Linked DNA regions of Coturnix japonica. The protein of the gene in region 5 interacts with the protein of the main gene of each other region in a pairwise test. Links are inferred from orthologs where the notes say so. Each region holds a gene or a part of one and is shown on either strand. Other genes may lie near its edges.

Region 1 (4,502 bases), on a different chromosome or scaffold from region 5:
GAGTTGTTCTGGCAGCACACACAGATTTGGTTGGAGCGGCAGCTTAGTTTGTCAGGGCTTTTGCCTTCACATGAGCCTGCTTGGCTCCCCGACACGATGGGGAAATATGAAAAGGGCTTTAAGTCCTGTCCCAGGGTCCTATTGCACGCAAACAGTCACGGACCTTCCTTTCTAAGGTTTCCAATTTGCTAATTGAGACATTTCCTCATGGAAAAAGAATGTTCTGAAGGGAAGAACACTGCGCTGGCGCAGAGAGGGGGACACGGAGGTGAGGCACACCGCGGGGCTGTGTCACCAGCACAGGACTGGGAGGATCTGGGAAGGGCAGGTGGGAAACCTGCCCGGGAAGCAGCTCGTGGGAAACTCTCCATCTAGGAAGACAGATGCCTGGAGAGAAAGCTTTGTTCTTCCCTTTTCTAATCAACCCGGAGCGCAAGGAAGAAATCATCTCCATTTTTGCAAGTGATGGAAGTATTTCTTTTGCCCTCAGGAAACACGAGAGCAGAAAAATCGATGTTGTCTGAGGGATTAAAGAGGGAATGAGACAAGAAAAGCACTTGTGGGGCTGCACAAGCCCAGAACATCATGGGAGAAGGGACTGAGGAAGAAGTGCTGGAGAAAGGCTGCAACTGGAACACAACCGCAGGCACAGCCCCATTGCTGTGACCCCGGATGGGACCAGCTCTGTTGGTTTTTATATAAAGAAGAAAAGACAGAGAGAATTTACAGCATTTTGTAGACTCACAGCGGATGTGTGGGGGACAGAGAGGGATTTCTAACTTTATATAGGTCAAACATCATCCACACGGGTTCACATGGTATTCAGCCCCGGCACAGGCGCTGCATAGAAATGAAGCTTGGAGCACCCCAGAGGGCTGCCTGAAGTTTGCTCTCTGTGAGCACGGAGCAGGGATTCACTCTGGATCAATAGGAGGCACAGGGTGGAGTGAAGGGGGCTGGAAAACTACCGCTCCTTTCTGCAGCTTGTGGGTATGAGGATGGGGAATGCAGCATAGTGACACTGCTGGGACGGCACTGTGCTGGGGGTGGCACGCCCATTGCCAGGTGTCCCACTCCCTCAGCTCATCCCCATAGGGCTGGTGCTCCAGACCATTGCCTTTCTCTGGGCACACTCCAATGCCTCAGTATCTTTCTCGCAATGAGGATCCTCTGAGCTCCATCTCACCTCTCACCTAAGCATAAAGTTTGGCCGTGGGGAACCTACTGCTAAGCCAAATCCTTTTTCAGGCCAGTGACTCTAACAGAGCACTCCTATTTCCAAGCCATTTGCTGAGCATGGGTGCACTCCCCAATCTCTCCATCCACATCCAAGGAAGCTGATGAGCAGCAGAGCTTCTCACCAGCAAAGCAGCCCTGGAAACACATAACCTGGAGGAGCCCACGAGCTCCATCCCCCACCTCAGAGACACCACGCTGGTCCCCGCAGCACACCCCAGCCACCACAACCCCTTACCTTGAGCTTCTCAAAGCGATCGCTGAGCGATGCCACTTGATGATCCCGGTGCCTCCCCACCAGTTTACATAAGGCACAGATGAGCTGGTCGTCAGCCACGCAGTACATGTTCACCTTCTCATTCTCATGCTCCAGGCAGGTCAGACCACGGAAGTGTGCGTCGGGCACGGGTTCCACCAAGCGGTGGCTGGTGAAGGGCTTCTTGTTGGGGTGCGTGGCCCGCAGGCAGCGGTCGCAATAGGACACCTCGCAGGTGATGCACGTCTTGACAGCATCCCGCGGAGGGTCCTGCTCACAGAACTGGCAGGCAATCCTCTCGCCTCCCACCGACATGGTGGGGTTGGGGCGGTAGGGCCGATCGCGGCGGCTCTCGTTGGGGGAGTTGGGGCCGCTGAGTGACGCCTTCTGGAAGCGGTCGATGATGTTCTGCAGGGTCACATTCCTCTTGAGGCCCTCCAGGCCGCGGTGGTTGAGGGAGATGACATAGCGGCACGTGGGGCACTGGAAGGCGCTGAGGGGCTCGATGCTCTCACCGGAAGAGCAGCTGGACAGCAGGATGCGGTGGGCGCAGCTGAAGCACAGGCTGTGGGCGCAGGGTAGAAGCAGAGGGTCTTCGAATAACTCCAGGCAGATTGGGCAGGTCAATTCGGACTCCAGTGTTTCCATCTTTAGTTAAAACGATCCCAATCCAGTGTCAAAACCCCGGAAAGCTGGTCTGTGACCTGCCAGGGGGAGAGCAGAGTTGAAGGGTGAGAAACAAAGCTAGGCAGCTCCTTCCCAGCGAGAGGTCACCAACACCTGCTGGTGATGGAGGGAACCTGCACAGCTTTGTGGCTCCAAAAGAGCAGCGATGCACAGCACAGCTGCCTAGGGAGCATTGGGGTTACGCAGAGGTGTCAGTCTCATAGTTGTTCCTAGATAGCTGTGAAAGGATAAGACGTGATGGCATTAAGTTACAACAGGAGATGGTCAGGTTGGGTGTTAGGTAAGACTCCAAAGGGCAGTGATGCACAGCACGGCTGCCCAGTGATTGGTGGGGTCCCCATGAGGTGTCCCAGAGCTGTGGGGACGTGGCACTGAGGGACATGGGGATGGGCACAGTGGGGTGGGCTGGGGATCTGAAAAGGCTCTTCCAACCTGAATGATTCTGGGCACCCCAATGCTCCCCAGTTTGGCCCCCAGCTGGTACCAGTGTGAGGGAATTCTGTAGGATGGGAGATGCACTGGGAGCACAAGGAGGGGCCTCTCCAGCCAGGAAGGACGACTCGAACAGTGCAGCCAAGAACAAAAATGGGAGAAACCACATGATTCCATGCTGCTAAAAGCAAGCAACCAGGGGCCGTGCTGCTTTCCCATGCCTGCGAGGGCAAAGCCAGGCTATGAACACCTTCCCCGGTGGCTGCACATCCCCTCCTCATCCTGGTGAAGGACAAGAGGCAAATTGCAACCCAGGAACAGAGCAAAGTGGTTCCCGAAGTCTAACACTCCCAGCTGCCCACTTCTAGGAGCAGGGAAGGAAGAACAGCCAAATGACAGGCTGCACACTCCTGGCTCTCAGCTGTCCTCGAGCCAAAGATGCCCTAATCAGTTCCAGCTGGGGGAAAAGCAGCTCCAGGCTTGCACTGAGCTCCTTTCAAGCCACTGCCTGAGCGTCCCCAAAATGCAAGCTTGCACGTGGAAGAGAATAACAGCCCGCCGGGTGCTAACAAGAGAAACCGCATGCTTTCTTCCAGCTTCAGCACGGCTGTGTGCGGTAGCAAGGACTAATTAATGAGGAGGGGCACGGTGGTGGGCTTCCTCCGGGTCTGCTCTGTATTAGAGGCGAGCAGCCCGTGCCGCTGGTGAAACTGCAATCAATTAGCCAGCCCCGCTGCTTCCCTGCGGTGCAGGAACACGCAGGAGGAGCCTGCTCAGAATTAGCATGTGAGTGCACAGGCTCGGCACCAGCCCGGAAACATCTCCTGCAAATGAGAGGCAGCGTTTAATTAGGTGGGAAGAGGCTGGGGGAGCCCCGCACTGCGGCTGCTGGGGATGATCCACGGTGGAAAACGCAAACTGCGGCCAAGGATGCATAGAAAGGGAAGGATGGGGGTGGGGGGGGTCACTGAAATTTGTGGTACAGGGGACACCTGTGAGGTAATCTGCCCATGGGATGTCAGTGCTGGTACCCAAAGGGTGGGAGGTGTGTATGGAGTCCCAGAGCCACCCCTCCGGGAGCCCTCAATGGCTTCCAGCTTTTGCTTTCCAATTCAGTCCACAAGTTCAGGAAGAAAAATCCCGGAAGAAGCTGCATGTTGTGTCCCCTCTGCACCCATTGCTTGCCTTGTCTTTGCTCACCTCTACCCCAAGAAAGAAGGCAGACATCACCCAGGAGCTCACAGATCCCAGATGCAAACTGCAGAGGGCGCGCAGCATCTCTCACCTCTCTGCACCCCCTCCTGTTAACTCAGCTCTGCCTGCTCCCCAGCAGTAAACACCAATAGCACTCTGCCTGCCCTCCTTACCCCACACAGCTCGAGCTTCTCCTGCTCAGGGGGCTCATGACATTAAGTAATGGGACCTTCGTGTATCATAAATGCTGCAGCAATCTTATTGCAGGCTCCATAGTGCCACAAACCGCCCAGCAGACAGAGTTCACCCCGCTGCTTTGCTGCGATGCTCAGGGCAGAGCACAGCATCCTCTCCTCTGAGCTCCCTCCTTTGCTTTGGCCCTGTCGGCCATACACACGTTAACCTTTGTTTTCCTCCAGGACTGCATCTTTTAGCCAGCAAGGAGCCCTGCAGACCGTGCTGCCATGCAGAGTGGGTGCTGCACCTGCATGCATCAGGCGCTCCAGAGCCTTTCATGCCGCACGCTTTGATGTTCTCTTTGATGTCCTGGACGAGGAAGAAACCGATCAGATTAAAATCTGCTTTGTTGATAGTCATTAACTCCCTACAAATAAAAACAACTTGAGGAGGGAACGGGGCTTTACAAACAGCACCTCATTGTGCCCAAAGGTCAGCCAGGCCATAGGGGAGCGCCGGG
Region 2 (5,199 bases), on a different chromosome or scaffold from region 5:
GTGTATCACAGAATTAGAAAAAAAACAGAATGTATTTTAAAACTACATCCAAGCTCAGTCTTGCTCAGCCTCTCTCCAGGTTAAAGGAGTATGTAGTCAGACAGCACCAAGAGATGTGGATAAGTATAAATTATAAGCGTTGGAACTGTGAGCTACTACTGGTATATCATTATGGTATATCCCCAAGGAAAACTGACTGGAATTAAGCAGCATGCCAGGTACACATTTCTTCTGAGAAAGAACAGCTGTGGCTTTCTAGCACTCCTTCTTCTGTATGAGTAGTTGCTGGCTGTGCTGGGCTATGTAACTCATGTCTGCAATAGCAGCCAATTCTGTGCTCAAAAAGCTGAAGAACTGAAAGTAACCAAATCAAACTGATAGAATCTACATTTTCTTAATATACACACTTCTCTGCCCCACCTGCCAGTGAGCTGTGTTCTTTGTCTGCTGTCCCCAGCCCATCAGTCAGCCTGCCCTTCACTGGTGCCACCCACAAATGCACCTCCTGTGTAACTTTAGAAGTGGTTGCTGTCTTTACTGCTGTCCACATACTGGAGTTCAAAACACCGATCACCAACTTTTAGGGCTAACTGTTCCGCTGTTTTTTTCTACCCAGTTGCAGTCTGTACCTCCCTGCTTTGGCCAGAAGGAAATTACTGGAGACAGATCAGAATCCTCTGGTAAGTTGGCATGAATGACGTTCTTGATGAAATGACTGGCTAAACAAGAAGACAATCAAGTTGCTTAGGGAGAATTTGCCCTTAAGAGGAATTAAAATGCTCACTCAGTGCTCTTTCATCTCTGCATCTGGAAGCAGTTTTACTCCTAACCATAAGGTTATCAGATAGCTTGGCAAAAGGGGAAAGAACAGAGAATGTAGCTGTAACTCTGCATGAGCTACAGTTGCTCTTCCTAAGAAACACTGTGTAGTATTGCACTAAATATTGGTTGTGATGTTTGGATGCAAGGCCAATCACTTGCAAAACCCACAAAATAAACCTTTAACTCTTAAATTACTGGCAAGAAGACCGTGCATTTTTAGGCCCATACTAAAATTAATGTGCAGACAGAAAATGAAGAGAATTGTGATGACATAACAGATGTTTTTAACCCACAAATTGTCAGTTTTAAGCACTTGTTAATTCTCTTTCTTAGCCTTCCTCAAGCTGAGTACCTGTAGCTTCCCTGACTGGGAATGGATGCAACTTACGGGGCTTGGGAAGAAAATAAGAGAGCAATGCATGATATCAGGAAAATCTCTCTGGTGAGACCAGCGTAAAGCACTGGATTGCACTGCATACAAAACACGGTAATAAAACCTTGAAATGTGCCTTAGAATGTAGTCCATCTGCCCTTGTATAAACACTTATCAAGTGTGTTATTTGATCACTTGACCATGAAAGCCTCTTATTTAATTGAAATTGATGAGTGGTTGTCCCACAGATGTGATCATACCATATAACTCCTACAGGACACCTAAGGGGAAAGAATAAGCAAACAGCATTACCAACACAGCAAATCACTTTAATGATGGTTCTTGTTTACAAAACAACTGGAAGAAGTGTTGGGTGGAGGAGGAAAGAGGTGGAGAGCTCGGATGGTTGTCAGGTGTGGCAATGTGTTGCATCATCCTAATAGCTGTGAGTCTTCAGATATGAAAGAATGCAGCAGAAAAAAATACCATAAAGACTGACTTATATACTCATGACCTTTAAACCAAGCACTAACAAACCTGACCCTGCAATTTGAAAGTGTTATCGTGTTTGATTTCCGGATTATACTTACTCTCTAATACTCCGTAATACAGAACCCTGTGGAGTAAAAGCATTTCTATGGGTTTTATCATTAAAATATCAGTTATTGACTTCAAACTGACAGTGTAATTATAGCGATGGAAAGAAAACTGAAATTGAGAAGTTCTGACAGATATTGCTGAACAAAAAAATGGAGGAACTGTTCACTCACATTTCCAGTGAAAAACTGAGGAGCTCTAATGCTCCTTACGATGTTTTATCACACATGGATCAGCTGCTACACCAGAAGCTACCAGTACAAAACTGCACAAGGAAACCACCTGTTTGAAAGTCAGTGAGCTGTTAAACAATTCATGTCATCACACGTATTGTATTGAAAGAGACGTGAGATGGAGCCTGTGCCATTGAGTCCTGTGGGTTTTTTGTGGTGCAATAGTTTGGAAATAAGAGAGCAGCAACTCTCTAAACACATATATCTGCACACTGAATGTGTGTACAACTAAACTGTGCTGCCTTGCTTATCAAAGGCAACATAAAGTGTCACTTGGTTTATTTCTGAAAATAGACAGTGGTTTGATTTCTACCCCGCACCAAAAGGAAATCAATGGTTTATTCACCCTTTAAGAGATCTTAGCTTGGTTGCAGAGTAAGTCTGATTTGGAGTTTATATAAGTGAAGTCAGCATCTCAAACATGTCTAATGGTACTGAATTCCAGTGCACAGTTCAGCCCTGAAAACCTGTCCAGATCAGGTCAAGTCTCTAGGCCACAGTCTGTGCAGCAAACCAGATCTTGTCTAACATCTGGTATCGGGGCTATATGGGACACTGCCTTATGGAAAGCAATGATACACCTCTTACACAGCCTTCTCTTCCAAGCTGTCCCTCCATTGATCTAGATTTGTTGTCACCGCTATTATAGGGATTAAAATCCTCTGTTTAGTAAATAAAGTTTCAATGCTCGAGCAATCAAAGCTACCACTGAATATGCTATTACAGCATTGGAACTGCTGCTCATCTGCATAAACTATGCAGCAAAACAAGGCCGGGCCTCCGCGCTAGGCCTGGCAGCCCCGAGTCGAGCCCGATCTGTCCTCCCGTCATGGAGCCGCTCCTCGCCTGACCCACCTGCGGGCTGTCCTCCAGCGTCTCCTCGATGGGCAGCTTGTCGATGCCGGGCATGGCGGCAGCAGGGATCCGATCTGCGCCGCTGCTGCTCCCGCTCCCTCAGCTCGCCCAGCTGGACGGGCCCCCCCGGCAGCAAACACTTGTCCCCGCCCCGAGCAGGATGTCCCTCCCTCCTGCCGCCCGCCTGCCTTTACTATTGGCTCCATAGCCCAGCTGCCCGGCTTCTTATTGCTCAGCGGGGCCTTCAGTCTGTCTACATACCGTGGGCTCTGTGCCCGCCTCGGTGGCTGTCTGAAGGGAGGTGTCGTGTGGTTCGGGTTGAGCCCGCGCGATGGGCGCCGTGCCTCAGGATGGCGTTTACCTTGGGTTGGCACTTACCTCGGGATGGTGCTTACCTGTGTGCCACCACTTACCTGTGTGTCGCCACAACGTCCTGTCAGGTTGTGGACATCCCAACCGCTCCTGCTGTGGCAGCTCGTTAGGCTGAGCCAGGTCGGTGTGTGCTGTTACACTGAGGGGGAAATAACCGCTCCTGAATTGCCATTCTTACAGCTTTGTGATTTGGAGAGATGTATATAGAGTTATCTTACTAGGTTTAAAGGCTAAGCCTTGTATCTTGGTCATTTGCTTACTGTGCTCTAACTGGATCCATGAGTATGAGCAGGCAATGCCAGCGTTGGCTCGTGACCTACATACACCTGCACAACTTTCTAGTTTTGATATCAGTGAACTTGGTAATGGTTGGACTAGATGATCTTCTAGGTCTTTTCCAACCTTGGTAATTCTGTGATTCTGTGAACTGTTGACCAGTTTCTCACAGCAGTCTTCTGTAAGAATTGCTCTCTATTTTGTAGTATATGTTAGTGTCATTCCCCTAGCAGAACTCAGAAAGGTAGTAAAGAACTCTAAACGTAATTATTTCTAATCACCTTTGCAGTTTTACAGCTGCAAATGACAGGAAAGATGCATTTATTGAGCTCATATAGAATGGGAAGAAAAGCACTTAAAAAACTGAAACTTGTGCAGAAATGGAGCAGGCTGCCCAGGGAGGTTGTGGATGTTCCTTCATTGGAGGTGTTCAAAGGCCTTTGAGTGACCTGTTCTAGAGGGAGGTGTCCCTGCCCATAGCAGGGGGTTGGAACTAGATGAGCTTAAAAATCCCTTCCAACCCAAACCATTCTGTGATTCTATATCAAAACAAAATAGTAACAGACAAGTTTTTAACATGTCAGAATGTGCTTTGGTATCTCAATTGGCGTGTAGTGTTCGTATTTCCATTTATCTTAATGTTTCAGTTCATTTTAGTAGCAAGAGAGAGCCCTTTCTGGTTGTTCTCTAATATACCAGGGCTTCTTCTAGTTCATAGTTAGGTTTCTAAATAGGTTCCTTACATGGAAACAGTCAGTGATGTCCCAGTAGCCTTGTATGTTATGATATTTGTGAGAAGATACACAAGGCATTTAGAAGTTTTATTTGGGATATATGTTTGGCTGCAGTGGAGGAGGTTGGATAGCAACAAACTGAGGAATTCATAAGAATCCACTAATGGGAATGTTTTTAGTGTTACACTTCTATAAGAATTGTAAACTTTCTTAGTGTGGATGACTTTGTTTGTACAAAATACTGAGGGGCAGTGTAAGTGTGGAGAACTAATGGCTGGCATTATATAAACAGGGAGAAGAGCAGCCTACAAGGATTAAAGATGTGTCCCCCTAATGGAGAGAACTTTGGCTCTGCTGGAGAGTGGAATTAGCCGTCTGGATCAGGTAGGATTTATTTGCATGTTATCTGTTAACTAGCGTACTGTTTCTTCTGATACCCTTGGATTTACCTTGAATTTATGTGTGTTCACTTAATCAAAGTAGCTTTCACTTACCAAGGAATAGCGAACTGTGTTCAGTTGTGCTTTGAAATAAATTATGTTGAAAGTATTAATGTACACTTGCAAAAAACAAAAAAACAAAAACCAAACCTTCACCATTTTGTAGTTGGCTTTGAATGTAATCTCTGTAATTAATGTTCAAAACATATTTGAAAGGTCGACCTGTGCAGCAAAATGTCTAAGGTGGTGATATACTGCTGCACTTGGGTGAAAGAGCTGCAGGGAAAGGTGAGATGAAAGGCAAATTTCTGTGTGATAAGGAATCAAGAAAGATGACGTGTGCTGTTCATAGCATTCCAAAAAGCTGAGAATGCTGCACAGGCTGTTGTGAAAGGTGACCTGACAGCGGAGTTGCAGTGGGTGATAGTGGCAATGAGTAGCATCTGCTTAAGAGACGGATGCTGCCATCACTGGGCAAAGAACAGGTGGTATAAGAT
Region 3 (4,502 bases), on a different chromosome or scaffold from region 5:
TTCCAGGATGTCCCACAAGAAGGTTTTAAGCACATCTACGCACACGCAGCCACGTTTAACCACTTACGCCTGTATGTTTCTTAAACATTGACCATTAAGTGCCAAGGAAAGTGCATGCAAACAAAAGTTAGCAAATAAATAAACAGCAGTCTCTATGAATACAATGCCATCACATCCAGGACCAACGGTACGTGTGGCGTGAGGGACAGCCAACGCTGCCATCATACACCCACAGTCACCTTCGTTCAGTGCAGAGATGCCTTCTCTCAAGATGACGACCTTTGTCAGACACACTGAAGTTCCTAACACCTAACGTCTTTTAGTTTTCCCCTCGTCCTATCACTATCTGCCCATGCAAGTTGCTACCCAAAAGCAGGGCTGCAGCAGTGTCACCTGATTCTGCGTGCTGCCAAGGCCATGCTGGCAGGTGATGCTGGCAGTTCTCAGGCCCAAAGGACTGAGACTTCATGCTGTCCCTGGCTCAATCAAACAGGTTGGAACTCCCCAGCCTTGGCTCACAGTGTTGCCTTTTATCTGCTCTCTGGATATTATTAGTGTTGGGCTACAGCACAGTGAACTTGTGCCTCACCTGAGAACAGCCTCATCTGTGTGCCTGCAGCAAGTACTTTTAAAGACGGGATTACCACAGCACATCATTTTCCCCTCCGGGAAGTTGTGGTTTTGATGAGATGGCAATATGTAGTAGAAAGTTTTGACCAGTCCTATTTGAAGATGAAATACTGACACAGCAACTGAAGTAAGGTTCAGTGCTGCTGGAGGAAGCTGTATGACCATGGGATGGCAAAATAAGCTCGTTAGCAGTAGGCCATACAACATATTCCTAGTGCACGCCTTACCCATCCAATCACCACTGCAGAGACCAATGTGACGAGAGCAACTCCTTGCTCCTCTTCTCTGAGAAACTGTTTCTCCTCTTCCTTCTCCTCCAGGAATACAACAGCTTAAGAAACAATTCTCTGATATGACCAAGGACAGTAATTTCCACTGCAGAAAGGAGGAAATGAGGCTGAGATCATTTAAGGGAATTAAGTTCTTAGAAATCACATTTGAAGCCTGGAATAAGTCACCAGAGGACTCTAGCAGGGCATGAGCCTGAGTGAAGGTGGCATGACATAGACCAGCACACTGAACCTGGCCACCCAGTTTTGTACAATACCACAGTGGGCATTTACAGCTGCCCCTCCTGCTCTGTGAAGAGAAATCATTTCTCAGAGTTAATTTACTGTTAAAGTTCCAAGGAACTGCTCCATAAGCTCAGCATCTTCTGTAAGAGGGCAACCCTTCATATGTGTAACACAAGGTGGGATTTTATCTCAGCACATGTCAATCAGTTAGAAATTAATTAAGTACCTACTGCGCCTCAGCCATCCCACCCGCCTCAATGGCCAGCAGACAACTCGTCTCATCTGACACAGGCACGGAACACAACTGGTGGTGTCACCTGGAGAGGTGCTGCAGCACTGCCAAAGGAGAACCTGAAACAACACACTCAGCAGGCTGTCCTTACTGCCATGTGGGAAGTAGCTGAGTTCTGCATTTGTGAGTTAATTCTAAGGCCCATTTTATCACCTTATCTTCTTTTCCACTTTTATAAGATGGCCTACTGGGGGACAGGCAGTGAAACAGGATTCAATGAGCAAATCTCAGTGGAACTTCCCTTTCCTTGAGGTTTTGTTTAGGTTTCTTTTTCCTTCTAATAAGCAACGAGATGGTTTTCTGAGTGCTGAAACACACAGTGCCACAATTCACATCCGGACAAATCCTGTTTGCCATCCCACTGGGATGCCAGGGAACGTGTCTGGTGTAACGGAGAGGTTTCTTAATGGTCCAAAACAGTGGCCATAATGGCCAGCAACTTCATATTCTAATATCCAGCTGAAGCTCTTCACAGTTTTGGTATTTACACTGCAAATAAACATACAGTGAGACAAAACCTCCTACCACTCAGCCTCTCATCCTAAAGAATTTATAGCACTTCTTCATGTGCTCAGAAACCAAGTTCGTCCCTAATCTGCATAAGCTGGCACAAAGCAGCCCACTATGGCCTATTAACTTCGTTTGGTGATAGAAGTGTGCTATCAAAGTTGTAGCAGCAAGGTTGTCACTGCTCCATAAAATCCAGTTACAGGTTGTTTACATAAAAATAATATACTCAAAATAGCCACAGTAATGACAGCTTAGTTTGCTTGACTTAAAGTGGGAAAGGGTAGTTACTGTGTTAGATTTTGCTGTCAGATTCTGAATGCTGGCTCTCCCTACACGCCTATGCTGCTCTCATCTTTTCAAACCAGTATGTCAGCAGACTTCAAGGCATTCCCCAAGCCAGCAGACGCCGAGTCTCTCTTCAAAGCCCTCCAGTGGAGAAGGTATTCCCAGGAGCAATGAGGCCGCGCTCTTCAGCTTGGTGGTGGGCAGCTCTCAATTTCGGAATGCTCCCACTCTGCTTGCTTTGCTAATGAAGCTTTTCAGGAGATCGTGGTCCATCTCTGCAAAGCCTTGAGTTTGTGTTACAACAGTTAAGTGGTTTATGCAAAATCTGAAACAAAACTCTTCCAAGTCCTGAAAAGAAAGAGAATTTATTGAGAATATGAATGACTGACAGCAAATTTATCATCATTCTCCCATTCCAAACGCATCATTTAATAAACAGACAACATACGAGCGACCAACCCTTCTTTGATCAGCCTCATTAGATGGCAGATGATAGGATGAAATTTGTAAATACAAAGTAAATACTTCAGAATACACTTACACGTATCTTTAATTAAAGATACAGATTACACCAGGCTTCTGCCAACACAGCACACTGAAACCACAATTCCTTTCTTTGGTCTCAGTTGTTCATACCTTCTGTTACTGCTTATTAGCCTTGATACCTTGGTTAAGACTGACCTTGTTACTCTACCAGCAGCTGGTATTCTTATAGTCTACTAATCAGATGTTATTCCTGAGTGCCTTCTGAAACTCAATGTAAACTTCCAGCCTCCTCTTTGCAACTCCTACACACATACACCTCATTATTACACTGCTGTCATACTGCAATATTTCATCTCAGTTTTTGTTTCAGTTCCTTTTTCCTACTTGCTTCCTGTGCCTGGAACAGTCTATCAATGCATCTTATGTAAGCATCTGCTTTAAACACCATCCTGCATCTTACAACCAAGCAAAAGCAGGATTAAAATGGATACAATGAAAAAATATATATATATCAGCTACATCGAATCATAGAATCACAGAATTGCTCAGGTTGGAAAAGAACTCAAAGATCATCAAGTCCAACCACAACCTGACCACACTACCCTAACTAACAGCCCTCCACTAAATCATATCCCTGAGCACCACATCCAAGCAGCTCTTAAACACAGCCAGGGATGGTGACTCAACCACCTCCCTGGGGAGCTTATTACAGTGCTTAACAACCCTTTCTGTAAAGAAGTTCTTCCTGATATCCAACCTAAACTTACCCTGGCTCAACTTGAGGCCATTTCCCCTCATCCTGTCACCTGTCACCAGTGAGAAGAGACCTGCCCTGATCTCACTGTGAGCACCTTTCAGGTACTAGAAGAGAGCAATAAGGTCTCCCCTCAGCCTCCTTTTCCTCAGACTAAACAGCCCCAGCACCATCAGCCTGTCCTGATAGGGCATATTCTCCAAGCCCTTCACAAGCCTTGTTGCCGTTCTTTGGACCTGCTCCAGCCCCTCCATGTCCTTTTTGTACTGAGGTGCCCAAAACTGAACACAGTACTCGAGATGAGGCCTCACCAATGCCGAGTACAGGGGCAGGATGACTTCCCTAGTCCTGCTCACCACACCATTCCTGATACAGGCCAGGATGCCACTGGCCTTCTTGGCCACCTGGGCACACTGCTGGCTCATATTCAGCCACCTGTCCATCAGCACACCAAGGTCCTGGTATCATTTGCAAACTGCTCATCTTCTGTGACCTGGGGATTGTCAGCTCCTACATTTTAAAATTACTTTCTTAAAGCATTCCCAGCCTTACTGGATTCCCATGCCCTGAAGAACTACCTCCCAAGGGACCTTCTCAACCATGGTCTAAAAGAGACCAAAGTCCACCCTCCAGAAGTCCAAGGTGGCAGTTCTGCTGACTCCCCTCTGCACTTCAACAAGGACCAAGAAATCTACCATCTCATGATCACTTTGCCCCAGACGGCCTCCAACCTTTACATCCCCCACAAGACCTTCTCTGTTAACAAACAGCAGGTCCAGGATTTTGCTTCCCCTTGTTGGCTCCTTCACCACCTGTGTCAGGAAGTTATCACCTCCCACACACTCTAGGAACTTCCAGGACTGTTCCCTATCTGCTGTATTATAAATCCAGCAGATGTCTGGGAAGTTGAAGTCACCCATGAGAACACAGGATAGAGGCTGTGAGATCTCACCCAACCCTCTATAAAGTATTTTATCCACCTCTTCATCCTGGTTGGGTGGCCTGTAGTAGACTCCCACACAGTAATGTC
Region 4 (5,154 bases), on a different chromosome or scaffold from region 5:
AGTCCAAGCCATTGCAGCTGCATCGCTCCTTCTGGTTTCACTCACGTCACAGCTTCATGGGTCATTAACTTTCCTGAAGCCACGAGTTCTGTGTGAAGTTAGAGCAGGTGTAGACATTTTGAGTCAATAAATGTGACAGTATTTGGGCACTAGTGTTGTCCCTGGAAGTGAAAAGAGTGGTGTAGCATGGCAGGATTGGGTCTTTAGGTTCCTAGAAGATGACTTCAGGTCTGTTAATATTGGAGCGAGGCAGGTTGGAAGGGGGTAAAGGGGAATTCACAGTGAAAATGCTGGGAGCTGCAGTCATGACAATTCATGGACTTCTTGGTGGTGGGATAGTAGATTGGTCATATATGAGCTGTGCTAGTTTAGTGTGAATTAGGTTGTCTGGCTTGACTTCTGGAGTTCCAAAATCAATAACACATTTAGAAAAGGCTTAAGCATGCCCTGAATCCACTGTCAGCAGTGATGATGACAGCAATGAATGACTACAGTGGAGCACAACAGGAAATACTCAGCAACAGAAGCAGAGAAAAAATGGTTTTGTCTTTGCTGGACCTGTTGCTAGGGTAGTTTTTTGCACTGGTTCCAGGGCACCCTCCTACTCTCTGTCATGGAGATGAGGTGGTATAATTTTATATCATTTCTCCCACAGTTTTCCCACTTGCTGACCTGTCTTCCTCTCTGTTTTTTCCATAGGCCATCATTCTGGTGCACTGGCTGCTCACAGTGTGGTGAGTGATTGGTAACTGGCCTGGCTTGAGAAGAGCTTCCTTCAAACTAGGAATGGGATGTTCTTGGGGAATCGGCACTCCCTGTTCACACCTGTGTGCAAGGAGATCCTAAGGCCAAGTGCCTGTATGGGAGCAGGGATAAATGCAAACACTGCTGCAGGCTCCTTGTGAACTTGGGTTGGGTTTTCTTTGTCTTGTTTGGCAGGGGATGCATGAATAACTCGTTTCCAGCCTCCTATGCTTGGGGGAATTTCAGTGTCCTTGCAGTGGGGATCTGGGCCATTGTGCAGCGAGATTCCCTTGATGCCATCGTGATGGTGAGTGTGAGGGCATTTGCCTTTACCTGGCTGCTCAGGGAGAGGGTGGAGGGCAGAAAGGTTCCTTTGAATCAGTATAGTGATGATCTTCAGCTGCTCCCAGTGCAACAGTGAACAAGTCAAACTCTTCATTTATTTATTCTTGTCTCCCCAAGGGAACCTGGCTTCTACTTAAGCACTATAAACTGTGGTGAGAAGCATTCACTATCCATTATTTTGCTTCTCAGGGGTAAGGCATACTTGGTTCTTATTTTCTGCCTGCTGTTGTCGCTTTCAATGCCAGAGGAGGATTCAGACTATTTAATATGCTTGAGTTAGAGATGTCTTTAGAGATTCCCTTCTCTGATCATTAAAGAAATTGGCAAGCATAAATAAACAACCCTGGAACATACTAGTAGAAAGCGTCCAGCAGATGTGAAGAAAATACATGATGTATGAGATCATACGATAATCTGTTTACCTTGGGGCTGTGTCAGGGGTCATACAGAGGTTTTGTGTTATACAGAGGTGAAAGCATAACTGTGTGAATGCTGATCTTCTAGTAGATAGAACCTATAACTGGCTGTTACTCCTGGTAGTTAATTCCTCATTCAATTCATGTCCTGTTCTCTCTTTCCAGTTCCTGTCCGGCCTGCTGTTCACAGTCCTCACAGACATCATTCACATCTCCGTCTACTACCCTTTACATGCTTATCTCATCGATGCGAAGCGTTTCAGTATGGGCATGGCCATCTTCAGCCTCCTCCTGAAACCCGGATCCTGCTACTTTGTGTATCGAATGTACCGGGAGCGTGGAGGAGAATACATCTTCAACATAGGTAGGTTGCTTCCTCTAGATCAGTGTGGGCCACATCCTCTGATGTTAGAGAAGGCTGCTAGGGAAGAATTGTACCCTTCAGCCTCAACCGTGTGCATCTGGATTCTGCCCCTCTTTCCAAGGAGAAGAGGATGACCTCTCTCTTCCTCGTGTCTGTTCTCACTTTTGTGCTCCTGCTGAGTCTTAGGCCTTAAATTTATATTCTTCCTCTCTTCCCTTGCAGACCTGGAGTCCTCGTCTGACAGCCGTTTTGCCTACAATGGTATTGATGCCACTGCTGTCACTCTTACTCAGTTAACTCAGGTTTTTCCTCTCTTCCTGCATTCTGTGCGCTTCTCAGAAGCCTTTGGGTGTCCTTCTCACTTTGTCAACCTTTTCCTTCTGTGGGGAAGTAAAGGCATCAATCCCTTCTACCTGGGAATTATGCATGTGAGGAAAGGGTGGGTTTCTAACTCTGTGTCCTAGCTATCTTAATTGTTGTGGACTGCTGTTTCCTTACCTGGGAAATGGGACTGACGTTTACCTTCTGCTGCTTTGTGTGGAGGCACTTGTTTTTCCTCCTGGCTGTAGTTGCTAGGAATAATGTGGCAGCCCTGCCAGAGAGAGGTGTTATAGTTGGGTATTCTGTCAGCTTCTTTGCCAAATATTCCTGGTGCTAGTTCATACTGGGGCAGCTGCCAGAGAGTGTTTGCTGTGTGGGAGTTCATCTTGGCAAAACCAGCAGCCTAGTGCAGTTGTCTTTTTCTTTCCTGAGGCTCTGTAGGACAAAGGGTGGTATAACTAGCACTGCAGTGTTTAAAAGCTGCCACTTAGACTGCGTTGGTGTTAGCAAAAAAGATGAGGCTTCTTGTGAAAAGAGGTGGATGCTTGTAGAGAAGGAGAGGCTGTCAGAGGAAAATGGTGGCTTCACAGTATAGTTTGCATCTTGTAATAGAAGAATGTGGATGTTCTCTCCATCAGCTGCTTGGGCAGATGCTGGCAGGTCTCTCTTAGCTGGCTCAGAAGGCCTGTGTGCCATGTCTGTGCCAGTTTTTATTAGCTGCTTACTCTACTTGTAACTCAGATTTGATATCTGTATCCTATAGAAAGTATAGGTGAGTATTCTCCCTTCTCCCCATGCTACTCCAGCACAGGCATGATGTCAGAATCTCTTCCCAGGCACAAGCTGGAATTCACTCACGTAGTATTTTCTTATCCTCTCCTGAAATGTCTTTCTCACAACATTCTCAGTACAAACCATGTGCTGTTGTTTTCTGTTGAACGTGGTTGACAATTTTTCTCTTTTCCTACTAACTGGCATTTTTCTTTTGAACTTAATTGTGATTTTCCAGGTCCTCTGTCTTGTCTTTCTTTTGAAACAAAAGCCCTCTTCACCACTGGGCAGCATCCTCACTGTGTAAAACAAGCCTGTTGTGGTAACGTGGCATGCCACTCAACTTTTGGTTTCTTCTAAGAGATTCCGGGTGGTTTTTTTTGTGCTCATTTTATTTTATTTTTATCAAGCTGGTTCTCTTCTTCTTCAGGTCTCAACCGTGCAGGCCGGGACCGCAGCGCCTATGAGACAATTGATCAGCAGGATGCCTCTCCACTGTGGCCTGACTCAAGCAAGACAGCTCAGCAACCATATTGAGGCCCCTGTCTGCAGCAGAATGGACACCTCCCTCCCCCAGTCCAGCCTTACACTCCTCCCGTGTCTATTCTGATGAAACAAGACCTTCTACTGAGCAAACAGAAGAGGATCTGATTTGACTTTTTCCTTCCTGAAGATTAGACAGAGGGGTTCTTGGAGTGAGTCCGGAAGATCTCAAGTGACTTTAAGCACTGTTTAAGCTGTTTAAGTGCTGTTTAAGCTGTTTGTAATTTCAACACACTGCTTTCCTCTCTCCCCTTGAATCCCTCCTATGTATGTGCAAGTGGATGCACCTTCTGCATTCTACTAAGTCTTGTATTGTGCATCCTCTCTATTCTAAGTAAGGGAGATGCACAGGATGTTCCTGGGCAAGCTATCTTTAACAAGCTTAAGGACTGCCCCTAAAACAACAGTTCAACCCGTTTTGTTGTTGATATGTTTCCAGGAAACATCTGGGACTTCTTCAGGGCTGTTTTTGATGGTGTTTTATAATTAAGATTTATGACCATAACTCCCTGTGCTAGCTGTGGTGGTTTACGTGCAGTTGGGGTTGGTATCAAGTGCTCCTACTGGGCCAGGGAGCATTCACTGATGCTTTTATGGAAGTAAAATGTTCTTCAGGATACTTAATGGCTGCTAAATGTTGATTACATATGTTCTGTGCCTTGAAATGTCCTTTTGCCTTCAGCTGCCTGTCTTAATAGGACTTAAGTGTTACACTTTTCTAAGAAAAACATAAAATGAACACAGTTCTTCTGTGTTAGAAAGAAAAATTACACTGGTCACCCATGTTTCATTTGAAAACACTGCTATTCCTGAGGCTCTGGGAGGGTTATTAGGGGGCAAGGTCTACAAGGCTTCAATGGCTCTGTTGTAAGCATTAAGCAAACATGTGGAAGGTACCGCATGGAGATGTGTTGGCAGTGAAGGTGAGTGAGTTAAAGGGCTAGGGAAGGGAAGAGGTGGGTTTGTGGTGAGCTCTGGAATGTGGCAAGCTATAAATGTAGATCTTATACACATTAAACCTGCCCTGCTGTGGCTTTCAGGGGGAAATCCTTACAAATAAATGTTCAGCAGGTTTTGTCAGAAGAAGGAAAGATTGTCAGCCTTGGCTGAAGAAAAATACAAGAGCTGGGAAGATGTGTGTTTTTCTGAAGCAGGTTCACTTTCAAGGTATGCATTTGTTATTTGAGAATTGCATTTCTCTGACAAGACCTGATGCTGTGTTGACTCTTCAATGACCAAAAGCCCTGTTAACTTTGCTCTACCCCTTAGGAACATACCATTTGTATCTTTAAAGGCAAGCATTTTTCTTTCAAGTTTTGTCACTCCAAACATTAGCAGATGCTTCGTTCCCTCTACAGCACCAGCATTACGATGGCCTGCTGCTGTGCCTGGACCAGTGTTGCTTATGCTTGGCTGAACACACAGTAGATGCTGCAGAGCTGCATTAATCTGATTTACTCTCCCATGATGAAGACTAGGTAGGCAGAGTTTGTTTTTTATCAAGTCGCAGGGTGGGTTTATCCAGTGTTTTACTGTTCTTGAGAACTGTGCAGTGACCTTATAGATCCCATGTTCAAACACTCAGGAGATAGGCAGCTTTTTCTTCCCTCGACCTGTGAACTGCAGACAATTTTCAATGCAGCACTTTCT
Region 5 (4,502 bases):
AAGTCCATGGGGCCAGATGGGATCCACCTGAAGGTACTGAGGGAACTGACAGAAGTGCTTGCCAAGACACTTTCCACCATTTGTCAGAAGTTCTGGTCAACTGGGGAGGTTCCAGATGACCGGAGTCTTGCCAGTATGACTCCCATCTATAACAAAGTTTGGGAGGGGGATCTGGGAAACTGCAGGGCTGTCAGCCTGACCTCAGTACTAGGGAAGGTTATGGAGTGTATCAGCTTAAGTGTGTTCACATGGCATGTGCAAGACAACCAGGAGGTCAGGCCTAGCCAACATGGTTTTATGAAAGGCAGGTACTGTCTGACCAAACTCATCTCCTTCTATGACTGTGTGACCTACATAGTGGGTCAAGGAAAGCCTGTGGACATAGTCTACATAGGCTTTAGTATAAAGCCTTTGACACAATCTCCCACAGCATTTTCATGGAGAAGCTGCTAGTGCTGATGCGGAAGAGTCAAGCCTGTCACACATGCACACATCCTTTTAGACTAAGTGTTTATTTATGAATTTGTTTAAATTTGAAAAAGCTGTGAGCCTTTGTGGAGCTGCTGGGCTCTCAACTTAGTTCAAAATCACTAGAATGATGCGTAAACATGGAGATGGCTCGTGACATTGGAAAAAAACTCACTTTAATAACTCAGTACCCTTGCCCTGTAAATGAAGAAGGTATGAATATTTCCTGATGGAAGTGTTGCATCATTAATATCTGTAACGCTCTTATGGATTAAATATTCTTGTCTTTTTGTGTTTAGAGCTGCATAAAAGAGACTTGTGTATGTGGGGGCAGCAGCTTTCTCCAGGGGAAGCATCCCAGGAGTAACCTGCATGGAGGTGTGATGCCAACGTGACAGGGCCTAGCAGCCCACTGCCCTGCTTTTCCCAGGTGCCTCAACAGAGGGAATTTTGATCCTCAAATGCTGGCAGTGATGTTAATGCCGCATGGACTTGGCTAGTCTGTCAGTCCATTTAAATATCTTGAATAGGAAATTCACATTTGCATATTTTGTTAAACAGTCAAGTTGGACATGAAATGCTAAGCTTGAAGGATAACAAAGAAAACATGTCTGTAGTGTTCTGCAGCCTTTCTCAATATCTGTCTGAAACTGTGGAACCAGAAAGTGCAGAGAGCAGCTTCATTGCCTATTGCAGTTCCTAAACCAAGTGATATGCCCTGTCTCACTGCTCATTCTGGTTGAAGTGTGATAGGTCAGTGACCTGTATATTTTGCATTGCTGATTACTTGTAGGCATTTCCATCTTGGCACTTAACATTTTTTCTTTTCTTAGGAAATAGGTGAACATTTTATCATTAATTTTTGATTTTGTGAGCTTAACCTCTTGAATTTTTTTCTTGTTTGTTTGTTGCAGCTGGTGCTCAAGATAAAATTGGCTGGGCTTTTGGCTTGGGCTTAGAGAGGCTGGCCATGATCCTGTATGATATTCCTGACATCCGACTGTTCTGGAGTGAAGATGAACGCTTCCTGAAGCAATTTATTGTACCTCATATTTCCCAAAAAATAAAATTCCAGGTAAATTAATATGTATGCAATAATTTTCTGTCAGTAAGAAGTGTGTGTGGGCCTAAAGAATATAATATAATTAAATATAATTAAAATTCTGGATCATTAACGTGTCAGGTTTCTCAACATAGCCTTTCAAACTATCACAGTTCTCTGATAATCTGATATTTATCCCCCTTGTGACGCAAGTGGTAGAAGTGCCGCTCTGCTACACAGAGGCTCGAATCCTGGGGGTTGGACTCGATGATCTCTAAGGTCCCTTCCAAACCGCACGAGACTATGATACTATGATACTATGATATGCAATAGAATCTGGCTTTTGATGATAACATGTTTTCAGCCAGGTAATGTTCTGAGTTACTGCTGATACTCCATGAATATCGTTGTTTTGAATAATACTTAAACATGTATTTAACTTTTAGATCTGTCCAGAGTAAGGACTGATACAGATGTGTGTCTGAATTGATTGTGTTCTTGAATTCTTTTCATAAAAACCTGTTTGATGCTGACGCTTCAACCATTATAGTATGTTTCTAATTTTCTCCTTAGTTCTCACTCTAAATTCATTGAATTTGATGTGAGTTGCATTGTTTAACAGTGATGAAATGCTTTCTGAACACGTACCGCCATCTTCAATACATTGGCTCTTTCCTCCAGCTGGTAGTGGTGGGTGAGAGTGTAGTGTCAACTTCTTTTGAAACTCCTCTTTTGAGACTTCACGTGCTTTTGTAGTTGGCAACTTATCTTATTTCTTGTAGTAGCAAAGTAGTCAAGCGTAAATGGATCAAGTGGAAATGCTACTTTCATAATATTCTTCAGTATCAGCACAGGAAGGCTTAAGTCAGCTGGGATCACTGGTCTTTGGGGGAGCTGAGCTGACAACTGTGTAGATGTCTGACAAAGTATGAATTAGTAGAGCATAAAAGCACTTATTACTGCTGCCTTTTACATTTTCCTTGGTTTGTTTGTGAGCAGCTTTATTATCATTTTTAAAAACTGAAAAGCTTAAAGGGAAAATCAACAGTGATAACGCTGAGGCAGTCATGTCAAACCAAAGATGCATCCATTTTTTTGTTCATGGCAGTTCTAGCACATCTTGAAAATAAGAAGTTGCATACAAACATATGAGATAACTTTACAGTAAGAGTGACAGAGCACTGGAAGAGGCTGCCCAGAGAGGTGGTGAAGTCTCCTTTTATGGAGATATATAAGATCCGTCTGGACACCTACTTGTGCAAAACAATGTATGGATAGATGTTTTTCTTTTCTTTTTGCTTTCTGTAGCACTATCATTAGGGCAGTCGGGTAGTGGTTACTGCTTACAGAAAGAAGACAGTTTTGCCACTTTTCCTAGTATTTTTCAGCCTGGCTGAACTGAACCAGTATGGATTGTATTTTCTGAGAGCCTTTTATTGCACAGATTTAATACTGCAGCCTCACAAGGTCTGGGTAAATGACCATCCTTCATGGACGTGCTACATGTGCTTAACTGTGATAGACTTCTCAACCTTTGGGTATTCCCCTACCTCTTTTTATAATCTGTGTGTTATCCACCAACTGGGGTATTTTTCTTTCTGTTCATTAAAATGTTCTTCAAACAGATTAAGACCATGGTGAGCAGCAGTCAGCTTAATAATAGCAGGGCTAAATATATTCTTGTTCTGAATGGAGTTTGATTTGAATTTTTTCTTGGGACATAAATGTATGTTTTGTGCCTTTAAGCAGCCTGAATGTGTCAAGCTTTTTCCTATGTCATCAGTTCCTCAACTGATGCATGTAGGCTTCAGTAGGTCAAAAAGCTACTGGGAAAGCTGACAGTGCTTGTACCATTGGGGTCAATCAGCACAGCAGTGCTAGAGTTCTGCTCCCCACAGATCAGCTTATGGTGTTGATTTCTATTACCTAAATCACTCCAGCTATAATTTGACAGAAGTCGCAGCAGCGTGTGGTTAGTTACTTGCCTTCAGTCACTCATGTGTAGGGCTTCTGTTCAGGCTGTGAAATGAAGAGCTAAGAATGGACAGGGCAGGAAAGACTAAGCACCTGCAAGGCGTAACATAGTAAAACAAATGGCTTGGATCTGATCTAGTACACTGTTATCTCTCTGCTCATCAGAGCTCTGAGCAGAGTTGCATGTAATCACTTTTTGGCCCATGTTGAACCTGCATTCTTAAAAGAAAAAGATATGTCCATGGGCTGACAACTTACAGGAAAAGGTACAAAAATGAAATGACATTTAAGGAAGGAAGACTCTCACAGTTGAGATGAAGTGCAGTGTACCCAGAGGTGTTGATTAAGATGAATGGGCTCTGGAGACAGGACAGTTCCTGGAACCTCCATCACTGCGCTGCCAGACCAAGCAAGCTGCACGGTGTGCCCACTGACTATTCTTCCCTCACAAATCACTTTCAGCTGATGCTCATGGTCTCTACTGCTGCTGCAGTTCTTTTAAATGAGTATTTTGATTGTAGATGAGTCTTGTAGCCCGGTCTCAGGTCTGACAGAAGTGTGTTTATGTTGTTATGAGGGAAGCACTGGTGCAAAGAGTATCTAATTCCAAGCTAAATGCAGACTCCCTAGGTGACATTATAAGGGTTCCTTTCTTCTCATTTTCTTTGTTTCTGCAATATCTACAATAACCCTTGCACCACCTACTTCTTAGCACTCTTATCAACTCAGGGATCTGCTACTTCCTTGTATCTGCTGGCACATGCAGTCTCCCAAAATCAGTTTCTTCCAAACAGTGTTAGCTTCTACTTGTAGCAGACTTTCTAACCACGATCATTTTAATAGAGACTGGATAGATGTAACTCCTAGAGAAGGGAAGAAGCATCTCCATTATGAGGAAAGGATGAGTAACCTGGGGCTGTTCAGCCTCGAGAAGAGAGAACTGAGAGGGGCTCTTGTCACTATTTATAAATATTTGAAGTGTGAGAGTCAGGTCCAATGGGAAGGATTCTTTTCAGTG

What was found.
Region 1: the proteins of FARS2 (region 5) and MID2 interact in binary tests that used the Homo sapiens proteins (3 or more experiments, as listed by UniProt). The two-hybrid records come from large-scale screens. The link is inferred for Coturnix japonica from reciprocal best matches to the Homo sapiens genes FARS2 and MID2.
Region 2: the proteins of FARS2 (region 5) and APPL1 interact in binary tests that used the Homo sapiens proteins (3 or more experiments, as listed by UniProt). The two-hybrid records come from large-scale screens. The link is inferred for Coturnix japonica from reciprocal best matches to the Homo sapiens genes FARS2 and APPL1.
Region 3: the proteins of FARS2 (region 5) and RCC1 and BTB domain-containing protein 2 interact in binary tests that used the Homo sapiens proteins (3 or more experiments, as listed by UniProt). The two-hybrid records come from large-scale screens. The link is inferred for Coturnix japonica from reciprocal best matches to the Homo sapiens genes FARS2 and RCBTB2.
Region 4: the proteins of FARS2 (region 5) and AGTRAP interact in binary tests that used the Homo sapiens proteins (3 or more experiments, as listed by UniProt). The two-hybrid records come from large-scale screens. The link is inferred for Coturnix japonica from reciprocal best matches to the Homo sapiens genes FARS2 and AGTRAP.

Annotation. Positions count from the first base shown.
Region 1 is NC_029519.1:1,715,087-1,719,588, forward strand, and holds part of MID2 (probable E3 ubiquitin-protein ligase MID2), read right to left. Parts: intron 2,197-4,502; 5' UTR 2,141-2,196; coding exon 1,475-2,140; intron 1-1,474. UniProt on the Homo sapiens protein: E3 ubiquitin ligase that plays a role in microtubule stabilization. Mediates the 'Lys-48'-linked polyubiquitination of LRRK2 to drive its localization to microtubules and its proteasomal degradation in neurons.
Region 2 is NC_029527.1:6,321,503-6,326,701, reverse strand, and holds the start of APPL1 (DCC-interacting protein 13-alpha), read right to left. Parts: upstream 3,026-5,199; 5' UTR 2,935-3,025; coding exon 2,881-2,934; exon of another isoform or gene 617-2,880; intron 1-616. UniProt on the Homo sapiens protein: Multifunctional adapter protein that binds to various membrane receptors, nuclear factors and signaling proteins to regulate many processes, such as cell proliferation, immune response, endosomal trafficking and cell metabolism.
Region 3 is NC_029516.1:151,086,193-151,090,694, forward strand, and holds part of RCC1 and BTB domain-containing protein 2, read right to left. Parts: intron 2,581-4,502; coding exon 2,440-2,580; 3' UTR 1-2,439.
Region 4 is NC_029536.1:4,899,103-4,904,256, reverse strand, and holds the end of AGTRAP (type-1 angiotensin II receptor-associated protein), read left to right. Parts: intron 1-699; coding exon 700-734; intron 735-939; coding exon 940-1,051; intron 1,052-1,670; coding exon 1,671-1,869; intron 1,870-2,091; coding exon 2,092-2,130; intron 2,131-3,391; coding exon 3,392-3,498; 3' UTR 3,499-4,128; downstream 4,129-5,154. UniProt on the Homo sapiens protein: Appears to be a negative regulator of type-1 angiotensin II receptor-mediated signaling by regulating receptor internalization as well as mechanism of receptor desensitization such as phosphorylation.
Region 5 is NC_029517.1:64,081,258-64,085,759, forward strand, and holds part of FARS2 (phenylalanine--tRNA ligase, mitochondrial), read left to right. Parts: intron 1-1,382; coding exon 1,383-1,543; intron 1,544-4,502. UniProt on the Homo sapiens protein: Is responsible for the charging of tRNA(Phe) with phenylalanine in mitochondrial translation.